Rhinolophus ferrumequinum: one gene and its partners. The protein of the gene in region 2 interacts with the protein of the main gene of each other region in a pairwise test. Links are inferred from orthologs where the notes say so. Each region holds a gene or a part of one and is shown on either strand. Other genes may lie near its edges.

Region 1 (7,256 bases), about 2.0 Mb from region 2:
TATTCACACTGGCTTTGGGCACAGTTCACACCTTCAAGCCCTGTTGTACTGTGATTTCCGCATTTAGCAAAATAAACAATGACAGCATAGTTACTGTAAAGATGAAGAAACAAAACCTCACGTACTTTCATCCTGCCATTCTATGTGACCATTTGGACTTTCAATTTATGTTTATAATTTAAAACACAGTGAGATATTTTTGTTTGGTAAGTGCAAATTTTAGCTAGTGCACTACATATTTAATTTGAATATCTTTGAAATGTATTCATAATTGCTAATTGCTTTAAAACTAATGAACTAATCAAGAAAATAACAGGTTATATTAGTGGTATCATTTACTAGTTGCATAAATGGCACCTTTTGCAGTGTTTTCAGCTTTGTTAAAATTTACTTACTATTGGACACTTAGTTGTATAAAATATTATTAAATCAGGCTAATCTGAAAAGATAAACTCACTCTTGTGGTTTGCCTTTACTCTCACGCTCTCACGCTACTACTCACACTATACCTCATTCACTTTTGACACGTGTGTGTTTTTACTGCATCAAACATTTCTCCACGACACCAGCTGGTGGCCATGGTTCACTCAATTTTGACACTATCTACCTCGAATTAGCATTAGACCCCACAAGTGTAGGAGTCATTTCCATAAGACTGCCCCCACTTCAGACACCAATTGAAAGTCCCAGGTTGTCACCCGAACTTCTGACGACTGGCTATAAATCAGAGTTCCCATGACACCCTCCTCGTCATTCACTAGAATGCCTCACAAACTCAGGGAAACACTGATGTTTCCTGGTTTATTATAAAGGACATAATAAAGGCTCATAATAAAGAGAAACAAGGGCCCCGAGCCCAGGAGCTTCTGTCCCCGTGGAGTTGGGCGGGGGGGCCAACCCTCCCAATGTGTAGTGGGTTCACCAACCCAGAAGCTCTCCGAACTCCATACTACTGGGATTTTTATGAAAGCTTCATCACGTAGGTATAATCGATCATGAACTCCATTTCCAGCCCATCTCCCCTCTCTGCAGAATGCAGGGTGGAACTGAAAATTCCAAGCTTCTAATCATGGCTTGATCTTTCTGGTGACCAGCTCCATCCAAGAGCCAGCCAGAGTCACCTCATTAGAACAAAAGGCACTGCCATCACCCAGGCAATTCCAAGGGATTCAGGAGCCCTGTGTCAGGAACTGGGGCAGAGACCGCTACGTATATTTCATATTATTTCACAAATGACGAGAGCAAAGATGAAACAGTTAGGGAGCTATCAAAGCGACTGAACGCATAGTTGTGCTTGTTTGCCCTTTGGGAACTTGGAGGAACTTGAAGCCCTTTGTGTTGGGAAACCAGCAACTGGTCCATAATTATTCTGAATTTCATTAAGAAATGTGTGGGGGGGCACCCCTAAAGACACTGATCCCATGGAGCCCAACAAAGAAAAATTTTAAGCAAAAGAGGAGGCAATTGAAGCAATGGCTGGATCTGTATTGAAATATGAAATGCCTGTGATACCACGTAGAGTTTTATGTCACATTTATTACTTCAAATCATTTGTCATAGAGAGGAGAGGTATTGAAAAATGACCCCCTCTGGGTGTCAAATATGCCAGATACTTTATCAAGAGGGGGAAGAAAAGGAGTGAGCCTCCATCCCATTTGCTTCATTCGCCCAACCCTGCTGGGTTTCCACTTAAAAGGGGGTCAGGCTGGACTTGCTGGTCTCCAGGGCCTCACACTGCCAACACCTTAGGGTTCCTGAGTGCCCTCCCCTTCCATGCCCTGGAAGGGGAGAAGTCCCAGTATCCTAAAAGTCCTGCTGTCCTTGTGACTTCTCAGCCTAGCAGTGAGATGGGATGCAAGAGCTGCGAAGGGAGCCTGGACGGAAGCGCTACACTTCGGGAGGCATGGTGGATAAGACATTCTAAAATCCTCTTCTTTCCACTCCCACAGGCGGCATACAGTAGATCACAACAAACTTTCCTTTAAACACACTGCTGAGCGTGCAGAATGCAAGAGAAATCCTCAAAGGCGTTCAGGAGGGAACTGAATACTAAAACCAGATACGTGAGCAAACGTCAAATCAGAGCTACCAATAGCAGAAACACAGGGATAGGAGACGAGGTCCTGGAGGGGTTGAACCAAATCTGACTTTAAAAACCTCCCAGCCTGGACTGGCCCCATGGCTCAGGTGGTTGGAGCCCCGAGCTCCTAACGCTGAAGACTGCCGGTTCGATTCCCACATGGGCCAGTGAGCTGCACCCTCTACAGCTAAGACTGTGAACAACAACAGCGTGAGCTACTGTGTGTCATCAGGAGCCCATAGCGACTGGCCGGCTGACTGGGGAGCGCAAGGCTCATAATACCAGCATGGGCCAGGGAGCTTGTCCTATACAACTAGACAACAGCTTGAACTGGAGTGGGGGTTGGGGGAGGCGGAAGAAAGGGGGAAAACAAAAAAACTAAGAAACCTTCCAACCAGTGCAAAGGTACCAAAAGGAATCCAGGTGGTGTATTCTGGATGTAGGTGGAAAAACTAATACAAATATAAATACAAATTTGAAAACAGAATTCTGCAGATCTGTAATTATGAAATTGCTCTCAACCAAGATCAACCACAAATCCCCACTGGAGAAGCTTTCTCAGCCAAGCTTGTTACGATTCCCCAGAATTAAAGCCAAATATTACACACACGGAAACAAAGCACCACATAAGAGTCAGTCAAACAAAAAGTAACAGATACGGGAATTATCAAATGTAGAATATAAAATGGCTCTTTATGAAATATGAAAAAAAACCACAAGAAACAGAAGACTACCAAAATTAGCCAAAATTAGCCAGGCAATGAAAGGTAGGAACGTTCCTGGCCTCTCCTCACTACCTACATGCCAGTAGCAGCCCTCCCTCCCTCGTCCCTCCCTCTCAAGTTGTAACAGTTAAAAATGTCTCCAGTTAAAAATGCCATATATACCCTAGAGGACAAAATCACTACAGTCGAAAACATTCTGTTCTAGAGGAAGGTACAGGATCAGATACTATATAAGAAAGTTAGATAATGAGTGTCGTGTGGGGGATCCTGCCGACTACGCCAAGCGTCATGCAGGACGGCGTGCAGGGTCCCCGGTCCCACTCCCCACACAAGAACGCAGGACATGGTGAGGCCAAAAAGGAACACCCACAGAGCCATAGGTAGGGGAGTCATACCACTGTACTGTCACTGGCAGCTGGGTTGGAGGCTCAGGAAGCAGGAGCCACACAATTCTCAACCCTCACTGCGCCGCTTGCAGGCTCAGCCACCATCTCCTTGCTAGCCCCCATTTGCTGCTAGCATAGCCACGGCAGTTATATTAGTGGCCAACGGCTCACTGGTTACAGCTGACGGCCAACTAGCCACAGCTGATGGCCATTTGATTGCAGTCGACAGCCATTTACTACCTGAGCCAGCACCTTTCTATGTGAGGCCGAGAGCCTGGAAACTGCTTTTTGGGGCTCTGTCCCCACAATGAGCAAGCAGCAAAATTACACTAAAACTGTGAAACAGTAGGGGGTTTTGTCAAATCTAAGAAACCATCAATTTTAAGGTTTACCATTATTTTGGGTAATGTTCAGAGTGAGAATACACTACAACGTTTAAGTGTGAATCGGTGTTCTATATCACAGCAACTGAAAAACGCAGAGAATTTCAATGTGAGAAGAGGTTCACTGAGAATTTCGTGACTTTTGTTTCTCTTCGTTCTTAACTCTGCCATCTTCGAAAGTAGGACTTGTGTCCCTTTGACTGGAAAACAGAAACCAACCCTATGGCACTTGCGCACGCTGGATTCTTGAAATTTTTCTTGCTGTTTTGTGACCGGGTCAACAGACTAGGCTAGGAAATGAACTTATCTGTCCTTAATTAAAAGTTTGTGTTGCGTGAATGCTAAAGCAAATTTACCGATCTGTGCCAAGCTCTGCTCAGGGCTTTACAGACAGTTACAATAAGACACCCCCCACCCCACGGCCACAAACACACACGGAGCCCTGATTTTGGTAAAAGGTGGGAAGGATAGTCAACAACCCCGTTTTCAACGGAGCTTTGGGGTCCGCTGGGGGCTCAGGATGAACGAGACCAGGTCTTTAACCCTGGAGTGGGGGCGGGGGGCTTGGCCCGGTGAAAAGACACTCACTTCTGACTGCAATCCGAACAAGAACGATTACACGGCTGCAAGAACGACAATCTCACGGCTGAGAGGGGTCTGCTGGCCGTACGAGGGAACGGGGCTGTGAGGCTTAGCCCGGGGACGTCACAGCCTTTGAGTACATTATTACGTAGCACCTTCCTCGTTTCGTGTAAGAAGATCGCGTTTACATCTTAAAAATATGTAAATTCCGCGCTCGAGAAGCCCTGTATGAGAAAGGTGCACCAAAACACGTCACCCCAAAGCCAGGGACGCAGCGAGCAGAAGGCGGGCGCCTTACGTACTCGGGCTCGGGCTCGTGCGCGCGCGCGGGCGCGGGGACGCCGGCGGCGTCTCCATGTACGTGCACGCGCCCGCACCTCGTCCTGCCGGCGGCGTGACCGTAAAGGGGCACAGCCGTGTCGTGAAAGGGGCCGCAACAGGCAGGGGGCTGGTTGACGGCTCGGACTCCATTTTGTTTGCCTCTTCTCTGCTCGTAAGTTGCCTCTCTCCGTGGTTTTTCTGAGGCGAAAAGTTTAAAAAAGGGTAAAAGTTTTAAGGATTATTCTGGAGCGCTGTTAATAAGCATAGGGAGTCTCCATTTTGTCTCTGCAGCAGACGTCGGTACTGCGGTTCCCGAGTAGCGGCGGAAAATGCGGCCCTTGGACATCGTCGAGCTGGCGGAACCGGAGGAAGTGGAAGTGCTGGAGCCCGAGGAGGATTTCGAGCAGTTTCTGCTCCCAGTCATCCACGAGATGCGGGAGGACATCGCGGCTCTGACCCGGGAGCACGGGCGAGCGTACATGCGGAACAGGAGCAAGTTGTGGGAGATGGACAATATGCTCATCCAGATCAAAACGCAGGTGGAGGCCTCGGAGGAGAGCGCCCTGAATCATCTGCAGAACCCGGACGACGAAGGGGAGGGCAGAGGGACCAAACGGTGCGAGAAGGCCGAGGAGAAGGCCAAGGAGATCGCCAAGATGACAGAGATGCTGGTGGAGCTGGTGCGGCGGATAGAGAGGAGCGAATCGTCCTGAGCGCGCGCGGGCCGCCGGTAAGGCCGGCGGGAGCCGGGGGGACGTCCTGCTGGGTGCCCTGCACTTGCTTTATCCGAGGGGACCGGTGTGATGGTGACGGTCCACGTGAGATGGACGTCGGGGCGGACGAGAGGAGAAAGGCAGGCCCAGTCTTGACTTGAACAGGGGTTAGCAGATACCGTTTGTTTGTTTGTTTACGCTGGTAATTAGGAAAAAATAGGCCTGTGTCGGGCATAGTATGTGTTTGGTTAAAACCTACGGTCTCGGGCCCTGGGAGTAATTGTAGTGTGGTAAAGCTGAAAGTCGCTAAAAGAACAAAATCATAGCAGGTGCCGTTGAGCAAGGGGGCATAGAGACAGAGAGTTTTCAGAGGGAGACAGAGAGTTTTCAATTCCAGACCTTGCCAGAAGACGGGAGTGAGTCAGATGGCATCCAGAAAAGGTGACGTCCTGCGTGGGTGGTTACATTTGTGAGGGTCTTGGGCTCCCTTCCCCCCCCAGGATTAACCCCTTAACGATGAGTTTCTCGCAATTGCACCTTAGGTTTGCAGCCAATGGATTCTGGTCCACTGATGGAGATTGGCTGACACCCTGGAGAAGCTGAAACCAGAGAGCCTTTTGTTTTCTCTCTTTTTTTCCTCTGTCTGTATTCTGTCCTCATTTACACTACGTTTCTGCTGTGGTCTGTGGTTGATGACCTCAATGTGAGTTTTGACTGTTAAATGTTTTTGTTTGGGGAAGTCACTTTTATTTGGGAAATTCTCTGACGTGCAACAATTAGGGCCTAGATTGTAAGCTCTTACAGCAGTCACATTTGTTCCTGGGCTTCGGTTATTTCTAAATTTTGAGGTGTTTTGCTCTTTCTTGTGTGATCTGATAGCTCCCTGGAACTTTGGGTCTATGTGTGACACACGAGACTCGGAGTTGGAGTTCTCCAGCTCTGGAGGCGCTGAAGGAGCTGCTTTACTTCTAGAAGATGACTCCTGCTAAAGAAGCTGAAGAAGGGACCAGACTTCATCCGGGAATGTGAATGGAGCTGATCTGGCTAGGACTGGTGCATCAAAAGAAGGGGTGGAAAGTGGTATTGTCTGTATTTTGGGACTTGAATTTCTGTGTGAGACCAAAGGAGGAGAGGTGTATTTTGTTCAAAATTGAATTTTATGTGGCACACTATCTGATGTAACGTGTCTGGTCAGTTTGTTTGGACAACCTAACTCAGCTTTATTTGACATGGAACCTGGAATAGGGGATGAGATCTTGGTATTCTGCACAAGTTGACATAATACTCGGATGCATTTCAGGGGATTCTGGGCATAAAATGAAAGAAACATTTGCAAAAGCCCTTGCGGGGCTGGGGAAGGAAAGCAAGGACTGCCTGCATTGGACCCGAAAGTGGACAGGGACTAGGTGTCTTCAAGGTTCATAAGTTGTCCAGCTATAAGTTCATTTGAGTAGCAGACCTGACAAATATTTGAGGTCAAAACCCTACCGTGTGTTTAAAAAAAATTACCGTGTTAATAAAAGTATTCATTTGCTTGAAAAGACAAAAGACCTAAAAAGTTATTGACTAAGAAATTTTATTTCTTTTAGAATGAAAATTTTCTCCTTGACTGTTGTCATTGTCAAATGGAGGGTGAATCTTTTAGTTTTTGAGGCTCTCAAGTAGGTCTCTTATCGGGAAAGATTGCGGGCTGCTCTGCTCTGGGCACTGGAATGAGTCAGGTGGCGTCCAGAAAAGGTGAACACTCAGCTGTTAAGTATAGGGAGGAACCTCATATAATCCTGTGGGCCAGGACCCTGCCTTCTCAGCCAAAGTTCCTTCAGTCTTTCCACCTAGGAAATTGAAACATTCTACCCCACTACAGAAATGAAGGTCAAACGCCCCAGCTGCTGGAAGTACTGCTAACAGGTGGCTCTCAGCAGATCAGCTTTAAGTGCCTCTGCTTAAGAGACCGTCCTTAGCCAAGGTTAAGCCCTCTTTCCCAGGTGGCCCATATCCAGTGACATGGACGTGGGGTCTAAGGGACCTGTCCCTCTCACTGCAACTTGGGACAACTTTGAAGGGCA
Region 2 (7,165 bases):
AAAGGCAAATGTCAACTGCTTCATAATTGCAGTCGAGGACTCTCCCACGCTTTGGCACTCCCTGCACGGCAGGCCCACCCAGGACCCCTGCATCCTATATGCTGAGTCAGAGAACAGGCACTCAGATACTTCAGCTGAAGCCCACCCATGGCTGTGACACTAAAGTTCCACACCACAGACAGCAAGAGCCATAAAAATAGAACAGGTACTTTCTCAATTGCTTTTGGCCAAACTTACTGTGGGGAATGGATTTTTCAGCTGAAGCATCTGAATGCCAAGATTCAAATTGTAAGCAGTGAGTTGTTTACTCAAAATTTACGAATACCTGCTTTCTCAATAGCAAAGTACATAAAATATATTTATGCATTTTATTTAAAATAACTATAATCAAGGGCCGGACCAGTAGCTCAGGCGGTTAGAGCTCCATGCTCCTAACTCCGAAGGCTGCTGGTTCAATTCCCACATGGGCCAGTGGACTCTCAACCACAAGGTTGCCAGTTCAATTCCTCCAATCCCGCAAGGGATGGTAGGCAGCGCCCCCTGCAACTAAGATTGAACAGGGCACCTTGAGCTGAGCTGCTGCAGAGCTCCCGGATGGCTCAGTTGGTTGGAGCGCGTCCTCTCAACCACAAGTTTGCCGGTTCGACTCCTGCAAGGGATGGTGGGCTGCGGCCCCTGCAACTAGCAATGGCAACTGGACCTGGAGCTGAGCTGTACCCTCCACAACTAAGACTGAAAGGACAACAACTTGACGTGGGGAAAAAAAAAAAAAAAAGTCCTGGAAGTACACACTGTTCCCCAATAAAGTCCTGTTCAAAAAAAAAAAAACTATAATCAAGCCTAAAGCAACTGACTTCAGAGCATGCTAAGAACCTTTCAAAGCTACTCTTCTGAAATACTTTTGCTTTTAAGTAATTTAAAATCTATCTTCATATATGCATAGATTATATCTGGAAGGATTCACAAGAAGGAAGTAAAACCGTGCTTGCCTCCGGGGACGGAATTAGGCCCTCAGGAGAAAGGAGTGGGAGAGAGAATTTTAATTTTTACCTTTTGGAATGTATTACTTATGCAAAAATAATAGATAAAATTATTCAAATAAGTCAATCATACTTTCCTGAAAGTAATGAAACAAAATCTACTTTTGTCAAGTCGGCTTTACAAGGAAACCTCTGTATACCCATATTTTGAAGATAAGCAAATTCAGGTTCTGACAAGTCAGCATAAGAAACAGAGGCAGGTTTTTAGATTGACGGAGTGGAGGAGTCACCAGGTGGCAGTAAACCTTGCAGAGACCCCCTTAGTGTTTCCCTTGTTTACACACGTGGAAACGTCTGTGACATTCACTTCCTGGAGAGACATTACATACAATAAGTCTCGAATGGGTTATGATTACAAATTACTTGCTCTAGAGATAAAGTCAAATTGTTTAAAAAAAATTTTTTCTCTCTAAATATGCAAACAGGTTTTTCACATCTTAGAAGGAAAAATAATTTATTTCTTCTAAATTTTATTCTAACAGATAAGCCACCATTACTCCCCAAGTCCTCATTTTCCAATTAAACTATTAGGACACAGCAAGAATTATGTCAGAAACATAAAGAACAAGAAAACATTACTAAGAGTGAATCAGCCTTAAAAGAGCAAGCTCCTTAAAGGGGCTGCTTCTTGGAAAGTGTCCCCATTAAATACCATCTTACACATCTTCAGATCAGAAGTCTAATGCCCCGAGCTGAGACAGGCCTGAACTGCAGCAAAGCACCCCCTAAACTCTGCTCAACACACAGCACAGGAAGACTTCAGGGAACAATACTTGGGTTCTGTTAGAGGGTGCCATTAGTGGTCTCCCTTTTCCTGTTTCAAAAACTGTCCCGGGCACAAGCAACAGAGATCCCTATTATGAAAGCAGTATCAGGATGCCGGCAATGAAGGGAACAGGAGACGTCCGTGGGGTGCGCTGACACCCACGCTCTGTCCAGCAGGCTGGACGACACCACCAGTAAAACGCACATCAGTCACCGCGCCCCACGATGAACTTCTCTCCCTCAGCAGTGTGTCGTTTTTATTTCCAAGTGAAAACAGGCCGTAAACTTCAGTCAACTCTTAATACTTAAGTCAATTCTATTACTTCTCACTCGTTAGCAATCATAACCATCTACGTATGGTCACCACTTACTTGGCAACCACAACTCGGTCAAATGCGTGCAGACCAAACTTGAGCTTGGACAAGCAGGCCTCTTACTGATGCTTAAAATCCTGTGATTACCACTGCGATTCCCGGACTAAGGGGAATGTCTCGAGAATGTGGCAGTACAGCCTTAAGTCACACAAGCTGTCTCAAGGGCCCCTGGCAAAAAGAATCTCCCACAGACGGCGCCGCACTGGCCCGCCCTCCCAGTCTAGGGCATGACGTCATGCACTGTGCCCACAGCGCTCCAGCTCCCAGCTCCCCGCGCAGCGCCCTGCGCCCCCAGCCCTGCTCCCTCTCAGACTAGGAGAGGGAGCGGAAGTGGCCCGGGGGAGCCAGATGCGACGCGCTCAGGGCGCCGCCAAGTTCTGCTACCCACGCAGCCCGGCCCTTTGCAATACAGAGCAGTAAGTTCCCCCCTAACTTGGCACGCTGAAAAACAACCGTGGCCGCCTCGGCGCCTTCTGGAGAGGCTGTGCCTGCACGCGCGAAGGCACTGAGGCCCACGCGAGATGCCGGGACGAGATGCCGCGGCAGGCAAGGCAGTGGAGCCGTGCGCGGGGTGGCCCCGTCGCCGCGGGGCCCGGGGTGCAGGGGGAGATGCAGCGGGCCCGCACTCACGGTCGGTGCAGCGGCTCCTCGGCCACGGCCGGGCCGGGCGGCAGTGTGGGAGGAGGTGGCTGAGGCTGAGGCGGCGGCGGCGGGTGAGCCTGCGGCGGCGGCTGAGGAGGCTGAGGCGGCGGCGGCGGCGGGGGCTGCTGCTGCTGCTGCTGGAAGGACTTGAGGGACTCAAAGGCCTTCATCAGCTTTTCCAGGGTCGCCATGGCGGCAACCCGCTCCGCGGAGACCGCCCCCGAAGCCCAAGGGCCGGCTCGCGGCGCCGCTCAGCAGCGCGGCAATGAATGGGGTTCGGGGCCGCAGGCTGTAGAAGAACCGAAACGCCCGGCCATCTTGAACCCTTCCCAGCAGCCCCCGCGGCCCTGCGTCCTGCGGCGTTCCGCCTGCGGGGCGGGGCCAGACCGGGCCGCCGGGATTGACAGCCCAGGCGGCGGCCTCTGCCAATGACCAAACGAAGTGCTAGCCCGCCCTCCCTCGAGCCCACTAGATCACCTCCCAGAGCTGACGCAGCCACTGAGATAATCGCGCCCCTCCCCTGCGAGGGCGCGGTACACGGAGGGGCGGGGCGCGGCAGTGTGGGCGGGACCTGGCGCTGAGGGGCGAGTCACTACAGAGGGCGGGACTGGGGCGGCACGCGGTGTGTGGCGATGAGGGGCGTGGCGTGGCGGTGATGGGCGGGGTACAGTGCTGAGGACAGGACCTGGCCGTGAGGGGCGGGGCACGGAGGTGGGAGGCGGGGCGGGGCGCTATGAGGGCGGGACGTGGCGGTGGGGGGCGGGGCACGGCATTGAGTGGCGGGAAGGGGAGGGGATACCGGTCACGCCCCGCTCATCCTGGCAGGAGCTCCGCCTGGGCTTGGGCGAGAGACACCAGGGGGCGCCCCTGCCCACCCGTGGCCGGGACTGAGGGGCGGGTCGCCGGACTGCTCTGACGTGAGTAGTCGGGGCTCTTTCTGTGAGGAGCACGGAGAAGTGAGTGCGTCCTTCGCAGAGCTGGGGTCGGGTAGGTCGGCGGAGACCTGCAGGAATGGTCTCGGCGGGAGGAGAGCCTGGGTGTGGCCCCCAGAGAGGAGAGGGAACCCCTGGGGGTCGGCAGCCAGCCGGCAGGCGCCTCCCAGAGTCTGCAGCCTGAGGGCAGGGGAGAAGAGGCTTAGCACGGTCAGGTCAGTGTCTGCTGCCCACAGAGACGATGGCTGTGCAGCGGGAAGCAGTCCTCCCCACCGCAGGAATGACTGCCCTCCAGCGAAGAGGACCCCTGTCCCACAGGTCTGTGGGCACCTCTGCCTGGGCCGCAGCAGGCTGCACGGAAGGGTCGGTGCTCCAGGGCCTCACCACCTCAAGGGGAGGCAGGTGAGCAACTGGGGGGGGGGGCGGGCAGGGACTGCGCTGGCCTCCGAGAGGGCCGCCTGGGGGAGGCAATGCATGCAGCAGGAGCCCACTCGGAGCAGTGCCCTATCTGTGCCACCAGCCACATCTCCACCCTCTGTCAGAGCGTCCGTTGTCCCAAATGGTCAGGGAACAGGAAACCCACCACCACCACGGGCAGTATTGTCCCCAAGGGCACAGCAACAGCTCTCCTTCAGGGGAACACCACATGCACCACCCTTGAGGTCCCAGTTCCGTGATGTTTGTTAATAAAGGACCTTGTCCGTGTGCCAGGCCACTTACCGAACCGCAGGCTGGACAGGCCAGATGGTGTTGGCCGAGAGCTGTCAGGTGCTGGTAGCCAAGTTCTAAGACAGCCCAGTGGCCCCCTCCTGGTGTTCACGCCCTTCATAGTGCCCTCCCAGAGTGTGGGCTGTCCCCTGGCGGCTTCCTTCTACCCAACAAAAGGAAAGATGGCCCTCCTGGATTAGCTTACAAAAGATGAGGCTTCAGTCTTGCCCGCCCTGGTCCCGTCACTTGGCTTACACGTGGGCACGAAGCACGCTGCCATGTTGGAGGCTGCCACTAGCCAAGTCAGTGAGAAACGGAGGCTTTCAAACCGACAGCCCACAAAGAGCTGAATCCTGCCAACACATGAGCTTAGGAGCCGGTCTTGCCCGGTAGAGCTTTCAAGTGGAGGCAACTGGTCCTTGATCGTAGGCTTTTGGGAGACTGGGAAGGGAAGGACCCAGCTAGGCTGTGGCAGATGCCTGCCCCACGGCCCCTGTGAGATTCTGTGGGTAGTTAAGCCACAGTGATTGGTCACACAGCAACAGGTAAGTGTATTAGTTTGCTAGGGCTGCTATAACAAGGTACCACACACTGCAGGCTCAACAGCAGAAACTCATCTTCTCCCGGCCCTGGAGGCTGGAAGTCCCCAAGATCAAGGTGTGGGCAGGGCAGTTTCTCCTGAGGCCGCTCTCCTAGGCTTCTACGTGGCCGTCTCCCTCCCTGTGTCTTCACATGCTCTTCCTGTTTGTGTCCTAATCCCTTCTTCTTATAAGGACAGCAGTCATACGGGGTTAGACCACACTAACGACCTCATTAAAGGGCCTCTGTCCAAATACAATCACATTCTGAAGTGCTAGGGGTGAGCACTCAACATGAAGGTTGAGGGGACATATTGGAACCCGTAACAAGTAGTAGTGTCGCCGCCTGATAGCCACTCTGGCCGCCTTCTTCAGTAACAGGACCTCAGTTCTTATCTGGGCACTTTTCCACTTAGTTAAAATGCTCCATTTCCCACCTTTGAGCTGGCTGTAGCCACATGATTAAATGAGTTCTAGCCAACGAGATGGAAGCAGATGTGTCCTAAGAAGGGGTTCACCTGTTCTTCCTGCTGCCTGGAATGCGGCTGTGTTGGGTGGTGCTTAAGCAGTCATTCTGGCTCATGAGGCTGAAAAGCCACATCCTGGGATGGTGGAGCTGGAAGGAGCCAGGGCCCAGAGGACGGGGTGGGGACGCCAGCCAGCCTGCCCACCTCATGAAAATCTGTGAGAGTGAAATGTAAGTCTATTTTGTATAAGCCACTGTTACGTGGGATTGTCCCGTTTATATGCTCCTAAACCACCTTCTGACCAGTCCAGATAGATTATGGGTCACCAAAGCCTTATATGGCCACCGACATGGCTTCTTCTGCCACAGCAGAAAGAATCATCTGCCTGGAACTTATTGTAATCCTGAGAAGAAATCTTATAGAAAGGGACTGTCAAGAAGCAGATTTTTTTAAGTTCAGAGAAAAGCTTGGCACAGTCCAAAGCAGATAAACTATGCTAGGTGGACAACTTGGCACCGGGTCTCCACAGACTTAAAACTGGGCACAGTCCCTGAATAGCAGACACTTCCAGTGCGTTATTCTAGGAAAACAATCGTGTGTGTGAGAATGGTCACTACTTACAGCAACATTTAGGACCAAAAAACTGGAAACATAAATGCTGGGCAGGAGGAGATTGGCGATATGAATCCAGATAAATCTGTGACAGAAAACTGGACAGCCATTCAAATCCTATTTTAGAAGAGCACTTGTGACCCAAGAAAAGGTTTACCATGCTTTAGCAGATTATACTACTACATATGGCATGATCTTCTCTTTCTTAAAGAAAAACAGTACACACATACATAGATGAGAGCTGCTCACCAAATTCGTAATACTGACTCTCTGTGCAGGGTTCTTATATCTTGTGTGCTTGTCTGTAGTTTTCAGCTTTTCAGCAGTAAATGTGTATATTCAGGGGAAAAACACATAAAAGCATAGGTTTGGGTGGAGAACTGAAAATGAAAGCCTAGCAACACACGTGGGACGCATGCTGCCCAGGAGAAAAGGCAGATATTTAAAGCAGCCATGACAGGTGGCGTGCCCTCCAGCTGGGGGGCTGGCACGCACCCTGAACCCAAGACCAGGTGAGGGGGGGTCTGTGCAGGGCAAGGCCTGGGCCCAAGAAAGAAGGAAACGTGAAGGAGAGCCAAGAGGGACAAGATGAGTGGACCGGCAGCTCCTGGGGACAGGGTGGTGGTTCCCCCACCCGTCTCCCTGGGGGTCCCTCCCAATTTAGAGGGTATTCTTGCCGTGTATTTATTTCTACATCAAGACATGCACACATTGTAAAAGACACAGACATGATTGTTGCTTTGAACAGTCAATATTTACTTAAATGACTCCCACATTTGCCATTTTTACTCCTCTGCATTCCTGCCTGCACGTCTGATCTTCCATCTGGGATCATTTTCTTCTGCCCAGAAGACACCCTTTAGACTTTCTCTTACAGTGGATCTTCTATTGCCAAAATGTCTGTTTCAGTTTGTCTGAAAATGTCATTATTTTACATTCATTCTTAATGGATCTGGGGTTGGGTCTAGAACTCAAGGTTGGCAGATGACCCGTCAGCAGGTTAAAGATGTGAACACCTCTCTCCTGCCTCTCATTCTTGCTATTGAG
Region 3 (7,606 bases), on a different chromosome or scaffold from region 2:
ATCTGGTGTTAGGCTGATATTTAGCCCTGTGCCTGGACCTGGTATTGGACTCTTCCCTGGGCCACGATCTGATACTGGCCTCTTCTCTAGCCCAGAAGGAAGACATCGTAGAGGTCTCATCTGCTGACCAGAATCCAGATTCATTAGAGCCCTCCGCTCTGGCCCTGGGCCTGGGATAGCACCAAGACCCAGTATCAGTTTCCTCCCCTGATCCAAACCAGGGTTGGATTCCCATCTGACCCTGAGAACCAGGAAAGATCTCAGCATCCACCCTGAGCTGTTCCCTATCTACAGATAGGGACATAGGTTTAGCACCTGACCCACACTCAGTACTGAGCAGTGGCCAGGCTTCTGCATTGGTCTGGGGCATGCCCTCTGTTTGGGACATTGCCTGAGCCCCAAACTCAGTCTGGGCCCAAGCCTGGGCTTCTTCCTTGTGCCTTGGCCCAGTGATTGCCTTGGCCTCAGTTTTAGAACATGCCCTACCTACTGCCCTGGCCTCTGTTTTTGGCCTTGCCCCAGACATTCTCTGGGCTTCACTTCTGGACCTTGCCACAGCCATTACTTGGGAATCAGTTTGGAGCCCTGACCCAGCCATCACCTGGGACTCCGTTTCAGGCGTTGCCCCATTCATAGCCTTGGATGCAGTTTTGGGCCTTGCCCCAGGCATTACCTGGGCCTGGGTCCTAACCTTGGGTCTGACCACCATCGGGACTTCGTTCTCTCTCTCAGCCCCACCTGCAACCTCTTCTCTAGCCTTCTTTTCAGCCTTGGCCTGGGCACCAGGCTCAATCTCAGCCCCAGTCATAATACCAGTTACAGAGAAGAGGCAGTTAAATACCAGTAACACAGTCCCCGCCTCTACCACAATTCTGTATCTTCACACTGATCTTCCAGTGATTCAGGCGATACAATTGGAAGAGAGTCAATCACCAGTCCAGCAGCCAACCAGCCTCCTTCCCAAGACCAGCCTCAGCCAATATCACAGACAGAGTGCCAAAGAGGCACAACCAAGCAGGGGGAGGATGGATGGTTCCCAAGTGGGTGCAGACCTGTTGAGGGTGGTGGTCAGCAGCAATTCCAGCACCATCAGAGATGCCACTGGAGGTGGATCTAGGGAGAGAGAAGGACATGGGGCCTTGAGCCTCTTGGAACTGTGTCACTCCATGTAGAGACTCACACAGAGACTGGACCTTGAATTCCTGGTGGAGCTGTTGGGCCATTAGAAAGTCTCTCTGTCACATTCATTTTGCCCACAACTGCCACACTATTTGGCCTGCCACCAAACAGGTGTGAGATTTGTGGGAAAGTATGTTGGCAATGAGAGAGGTTGAGGAGTCCTGAAACTAGACCCTAATTACTGTTGTGACTGCACTGGTCTCCACTATCCGACCCGAAGTTTACCCATCTCATACCAACCTTCTCTGATGTGGTGCAATTTCCCACTCCGTGCTTCATTCCAGGGGTACCAATTACACCCTAGAGCAGAAGGGTGTTCCATGGACAAGCAAACGCACAGGAAAAAATGGAGTCTGAGGGTTTGGTTGACAGGCAGACACCCTGACCCCTGATGCAAATATCTCTCTTTCTGTTTAAGGGTCCAATTTGTCTAACGTTTCCTGTCTCCTGGTCCCTGATCTCAGGTCTTCTCCTCCGATTCACAGCCCAATTCGCACCTACCCCAATATTCGTAATATCTCCTGCAGGAAATGGACAAGGAATGCTGGGACAGTGTGCAAATCTGGCAGAGAGCAGGAGAGGTGAATCAAAGACCTGCCATGATCTTACTCTGTCGCTATCCCCTGCATTTCCCCCTTCACACCAACCTCCAGAGAATTGAGCCAGTCTCTTCCTCCTTTCCTTCCTTGCAGAAGTGACCAGTCTTAAAGTAAGCCTAGGGACAAACGGATGAAAAGAAAGACAGTCAGAAGACCATGGTAACAACTGAGCACTTGGTGGACAGACCAACACCAATGATGGGAGTCCACATGTGATCTGTCTTTCAACATTTAAGGTCTTCTAGGTAGAACGTTCTCGTTTTACTAAGGCCCTCTGTTTCAGGGTTCCAGATAACGACATCTTTTCTTGACGTCAGTCTTCTCATTGCTGCCGTATTCCAATTCTGAGGATTCACCACTAGGTGCACCACATCCCTTTGCCTTGGGCAGCATAAAATGGGGGAAGGGAGCCTGCATATTATAGAAAACAGGTTGTGCAGTGGTACTTGTAACTGTGACTTCCGTCTCACCCTCGCCTCCGATCCCATCTTTTCCTACCCCCAGTTAGGGATGGAGGTAAGGGAGGAAGCCAAGGGAAGTGCCTAGGAACTGGTACGGAGGGAAATTTTAGGATTTATTCCTGGATGCCTAACCCGCTCTGGTCATAGTCACCCAACCCCAATTCGTGTCTCCAGTCAATGGCGGCTGCCCACCCCCCATCCCCACACACCTCCAGAAATCCAGGCTATTTTCCTGCTCCAACTTTTTCTCAAGCAGCTCCGCAGCAGATGCACCCCGCCACCTGAAATCGCCAACCTACCACGCAGACGGGAGACTTTGGCACCAAAGAGGCGCCTGTGGGAAGGGACAGCCCCCAGGACGCGGGGCCCAACAGACCCTTTCCAGAATCAGGGCCCGGAATAGCCAACGCCCCCGCCCCGGCGCCCCCATCTCTGCTCCGGCTCCACCATTTCTCCCGCACCAGCCTCCCCCACAGCCATCTCCGGGAAAGCTGGCTGTGGAGAGGCCGGCGTGGATAGCTTCCCCCAGGAGCCCAGGGAGCATCTGAGGCCACCCCTGGGCCCTGGACCCTGGGTCCGGCCCGCACCCGTCGCCGCCGCAACCTCAGCGCAGGGCTCCCCGGCGTTGCGCACCTCTCTCAGGAACCGGCTTCGACCCTGTAGCCGCCTCCGCCTCTTCGCTGGGCTGCCTGGGACTGGGCGCGGGTGTAAGCTGGTCGAGAGTGTGGACCCACCCCGCCCCATGCACCCCCACTTGCCTTTCCAGGCTCGGGGCCCGGGTGGCCGGCCTCCCCTCCTCTCGGACCTCCTCGGAGTCCCACCGCCTTGCGCGCGCATCAAATTGCAAAGAGGCGTCCCGCCCTTCGCTCCGCTGCACCAAACACGGCAGGGGGTGCGCAGGATGCGGCACGAACCGCTGGCTGGGGGTGTAGGGAAAGCGGGGCGGAGGGAGACCGGACGAATGGGCTCGACGACCCCTCCCCTGCCAGACGCCCCGCAGTTCCGACCCGGAGGGGGCGGGGCCGGGAAGAGCCCCAGCGCATGGGGCGAATTAACGCCCGCCAATCGGGCTCTAAGGACCTCCGCGGCCCCCTGCCGGGTACCCCCTACAACATTTCCGGTTCTACAATCTACGGGCAGCGCGGGCGGGGGTGGGGGAGCATGTTCGCTAGGTCAGGAGCAGCTTCGCTGCGTGTGGATACAAAGCGCCCCTAGGTGTATATGAACCCCCAGAGTGCTGGGTTCTACCCACCTCCCTCCTGCCGTCTCACTTCTGGACGCTGCTGGGAGAGGGGCTGTGAGAATGCTGCCCGGATGGGGAGAGGCCATCTAAAGCTAGACCGACCCTGAAGTCCTGAGGTGCCCCCCCAAGTTCTTTCATTGTTTGGGGGGTCAGGGAGGACAGGAAGTGGTGGGGTCTGCCATGGAGGCCTCACCACTGCCCCTCTTCTAAAGGCAGACCTAGACCTCTAACCCTAGGAGAGAATCCACTGCTCTGTACCCAGATTCATCCTTGCTGCCACACTGCTTTTTTTCACATTCGAAATAGTAACACGTGTTGCCATTTTGTGGTCCCCACAGTGCCCTAGAAAGAGGGCCTTTCCCTGTCTGGACCCGCACCGGGTCATAGAATTCTCCCTGTGTGTGGCCTCACATCCAAGTAAGTGTCAGGCATCAGATAGGGTCGCTCCGGGTTCCTCTTCCTCTGTTCTATCAAGTCTTGTCTTACAATCCCATCCAAGCTCTCATGATTTTTGGCACTGTGGAAATGTGGCAGGGATTAGAAGCATTTTAGGTCTCGGCCACTTGCCGTAAGCACCTATCCAGTTTGCCCAGTCATTCCTTGGAGAAAGCTGCATCATGCACACACTTCCCCAAGACAGCCCTGGTGGGGTTTGTTTTTTTGTTTTTGTATTTTTTTTTAGGAATTAGAAATATCTTCATGAACTGACATGGTAAAATCACAAAAGCATATTTCTAAATAAAAAAGAATGGTACAAAGTAATAAATATGTTACGGTAACATTTGTGTAAAAAGGTGAGAATTTTATGTGTAAAATTTCTCTGGAAGGATACTAAAACTGATACAACTTTAGGATACTAAAGTTGATTCTAGGGAAGTAAGGTGACTGGGAAAAAGAGTGGGAAGGAGAGAATCTTTTTTTTTAATTATTTTTTAAATTTATTGGGGTGACAATTGTTAGTAAAAGGAGAGGATCTTTTAAACGTTTAAAATTAGAACCACAGGATGTTACCTAATCAAAAATAAGAAAATAAAAACGAAAGGGCGGTCAGATACTAGGTTAAAAGAAAAAATATATAAGAGGTATCATTCATGTCATCCATCCTTACCTCTAGATCAAAGATGAAATGCTACTGGAGTCTTTTTGATTTTGGTACAGTGAGTGGTTTCAGACCGTGATTTAGTTTAAAAATCTAAAGTGCCGAGATTTGAGAATGCCAAGAACAATTTCCTAATATAAAAAAAGGGAAGAATGCTATACGATTAATGTATTTCTTGGTTCAGGTCTTCCTTAGGAAGAGAAATGCAGGAACAAAATAAAAACCTAAAGGTGGATGGAAACTGGTCATAGAAAACCAGAAGACAGCATCTTTCAGGAAAGAAGTATAAAAATTAAAGAACATCAGCTCAGAAAAGTAGGTTTTTCAGAGGCTTGGGGAACTGGTAGGATTAATACAATGGAAAGAATATATAAAAATACAGTTACCCAAATTAACTTGGATGCTTTTTAAATAGGCATCTCTGTGGGTACAAAGTTTACCAACATACAGGAAAGATAACAAGATACCAGACTGGCTAAACTCTGAATTTTAAGGTAACAAAATGGAAACAAGTCAAAAAGAAAAAATCAGGCCAGATTATTGAATTGGAAGGTAGAGAAACAGTATAGTTGAATAAGGTTAAAAAAGTTAACTCTAATACAGAAAATAAAAACAGCCAATCAAACCAACAGGGTTTTTTTTTTGTCAGCATCTACTAAATGTTCAGTATTATGCTGTACAACTTTTCTTTAAGTTTGCTTTTGAGTTTTTCAAGAGCATATAAAATTGTAAATTAGGAAATCCAAGAAAAGCGTTTTTCCCAGATAATAAAGAGAAAACATCATAATCAATAACCACAAAAAGGCAATAACTTTTACGGTTCACTTTACCTCTTTTACGAACCTCCAACCCTCATTAATCGCCTCTTTTTAATGCCAAAGTCAACTGTTGTTAACCAATATGAAGTCCATAGGCAACACTGGGTAGGAAATAAAACAAGGGAAGAAAAGGACCCTAAAGTGTTTTAAAAAGTAAGATGTATCCAAAAACCATATGAGGACTGGCATCTTAGGAAATGTTAAAAGATTTCTATAAATAACAATAATAGCTAATATTTGAGTGCTATATACCATGAATTTTATAATATTCTGGGCACTGTGCCAAGTACTTTGCATAAATTAACTTATTCCTCCTCATAAAACCTAAGGGACAAAAAACATATATATATATATATATATATTTATGTAATTTTATATATATATATATGATTTAACAAATGACAACAAGGGTGCTAGAAGTTACAGGAGTTATCCAAGGTCACACGGCATCTTTTTTTTTTTAATTAAAGTTTAGTAAAGTTACATAGATTTCAGGTATACAATTATGTATTACATCATCTATAAATCACATTGTGTGTTCACCACCCAGGTTCAGTTCTCCTTCTATCACCATATATTTGATCCCCTTTACCTTCATCCACCACCCCCGCCCTCACCAACTGATAACCACTAAACTATTGTCTGTGTCTATGAGTTTTTGTTTCTCATTTGTTTGTCTTGTTCTTTTGTTGTTTTTGGTTTATATACCATATATCACTGAAATCATATGGTTCTCTGCTTTTTCAATCTGACTTATTTCGCTTAGCATTATAACCTCAAGGTCCATCCATGTTGTCACAAATGGTCCTATTTCATCTTTTCTTACCGCCGAATACTATTCTATTGTGTATATATACCACAACTTCTTTATCCATTCATCTATTGAAGGACATTTTGATTGTTTCCATATCTTGGCCACCGTAAATAAAGCTGCAATGAACACTGGAGCACACGTGTCTTTATGCATAAATGTTTTCAGATTCTTTTGGTAGATACCCAGTAGAGGGATTGCTGGGTCATATGGTAATTCTATTCGTAATTTTTTGAGGAACCTCCACACTGCCTTCCATAGCGGCTGCACCAGTTTGCATTCCCACCAACAGTGTATGAGGGTTCCTTTTTCTCCACGGCCTCTCCAACACTTGTTACTATTTTTCTTGTTGATGATAGCCATTCTGACTGGGGTGAGGTGATATCTCATTGTGGTTTTTATTTGCATTTCTCTGATGATTAGTGATGTTGAGCATTTCTTCATATGTCTATTTGCCATTTGTATGTCCTCTTTGGAGAAATGTCTCTTCAGGTCGTCTACCCATTTTTCAATTGGGTTGTTTGTTTTTTTGTTGTTGAGTTTCATGAGCTCCTTGTATATTTTGGATATTAGCCCCTTATCAGAGGCACTGTTTGAAAAAATCTCCCATTCAGTTGGTTGCCTCTTTATTTTGTTGATGGTTTCTTTGCTGTGCAGAAGCTTTTAAGTTTCATATAGTCCCATTCACTTGTTTCAGCTTTTACTTCCCTTGACTTTGGAGTCAAATTCATAAAATGCTCTTTGAACCCAAAGGTCCATAAGTTTAGTACCTATGTTTTCTTCTATGCAGTTTATTGTGTCAAGACTTATGCTTAAGTATTTGATCCATTTTGAATTAGTTTTGGTACATTGTGACAGATAGCAGTCTAGTTTCGTTCTTTTGCACGTGGCTTTCCAATTCTCCCAGCACCATTTATTGAAGAGGCTGTCTTTCCTCTATTGTATGTTTTTAGCTTCCTTGTCAAAAATTCTCTGTCCATATTTATGTGGTTTTTTTCTGCATTCTCAATTCTATTCCATTGGTCTATCTATGTGTCTGTTTTCCTGCCAATACCATGCTGTTTTGATTACTGTTGCCCTGTAGTACAAGCTAAAGTCAGGGAGTGTGATACCTCCAGCATTGTTCTTTTTTCTTAAGATTGCTTTGGCTATTCGGGGTCTTTTGTGGTTCCAAACAAATCTGATGATTTTTTGTTCTATTTCTTTAAAAAATGCCATTGGGGTTTCGATGGGGATTGCATTAAATCTATATATTGCTTCGGGTAATACGGCCATTTTAACTATGTTGATTCTTCCAATTCATGACCACGGAATGTCTTTCCATCTCTTTGTGTCTTCTTCTATTTCTTTTAAAAATGTCTTATAGTTTTCAGCATATAGGTCTTTCACATCCTTG

Evidence for each region. The genes of interacting proteins can lie anywhere in the genome.
Region 1: the proteins of HTT (region 2) and MRFAP1 interact in binary tests that used the Homo sapiens proteins (3 or more experiments, as listed by UniProt). The link is inferred for Rhinolophus ferrumequinum from reciprocal best matches to the Homo sapiens genes HTT and MRFAP1.
Region 3: the proteins of HTT (region 2) and GPRASP2 interact in binary tests that used the Homo sapiens proteins (3 or more experiments, as listed by UniProt). The link is inferred for Rhinolophus ferrumequinum from reciprocal best matches to the Homo sapiens genes HTT and GPRASP2.

What each region holds. Positions count from the first base shown.
Region 1 is NC_046288.1:84,322,976-84,330,231, forward strand, and holds MRFAP1 (MORF4 family-associated protein 1), read left to right. Parts: upstream 1-4,523; 5' UTR 4,524-4,649; exon of another isoform or gene 4,650-4,768; 5' UTR 4,769-4,806; coding exon 4,807-5,190; 3' UTR 5,191-5,207; intron 5,208-5,732; 3' UTR 5,733-6,744; downstream 6,745-7,256.
Region 2 is NC_046288.1:86,319,488-86,326,652, forward strand, and holds the start of HTT (huntingtin), read right to left. Parts: upstream 3,013-7,165; coding exon 2,810-3,012; intron 1-2,809.
Region 3 is NC_046284.1:52,045,950-52,053,555, forward strand, and holds the start of GPRASP2 (G-protein coupled receptor-associated sorting protein 2), read right to left. Parts: upstream 3,013-7,606; 5' UTR 2,873-3,012; intron 2,535-2,872; 5' UTR 2,449-2,534; intron 1,895-2,448; 5' UTR 1,827-1,894; intron 1,742-1,826; 5' UTR 1,681-1,741; intron 1,480-1,680; 5' UTR 1,420-1,479; intron 1,114-1,419; 5' UTR 809-1,113; coding exon 1-808. UniProt on the Homo sapiens protein: May play a role in regulation of a variety of G-protein coupled receptors.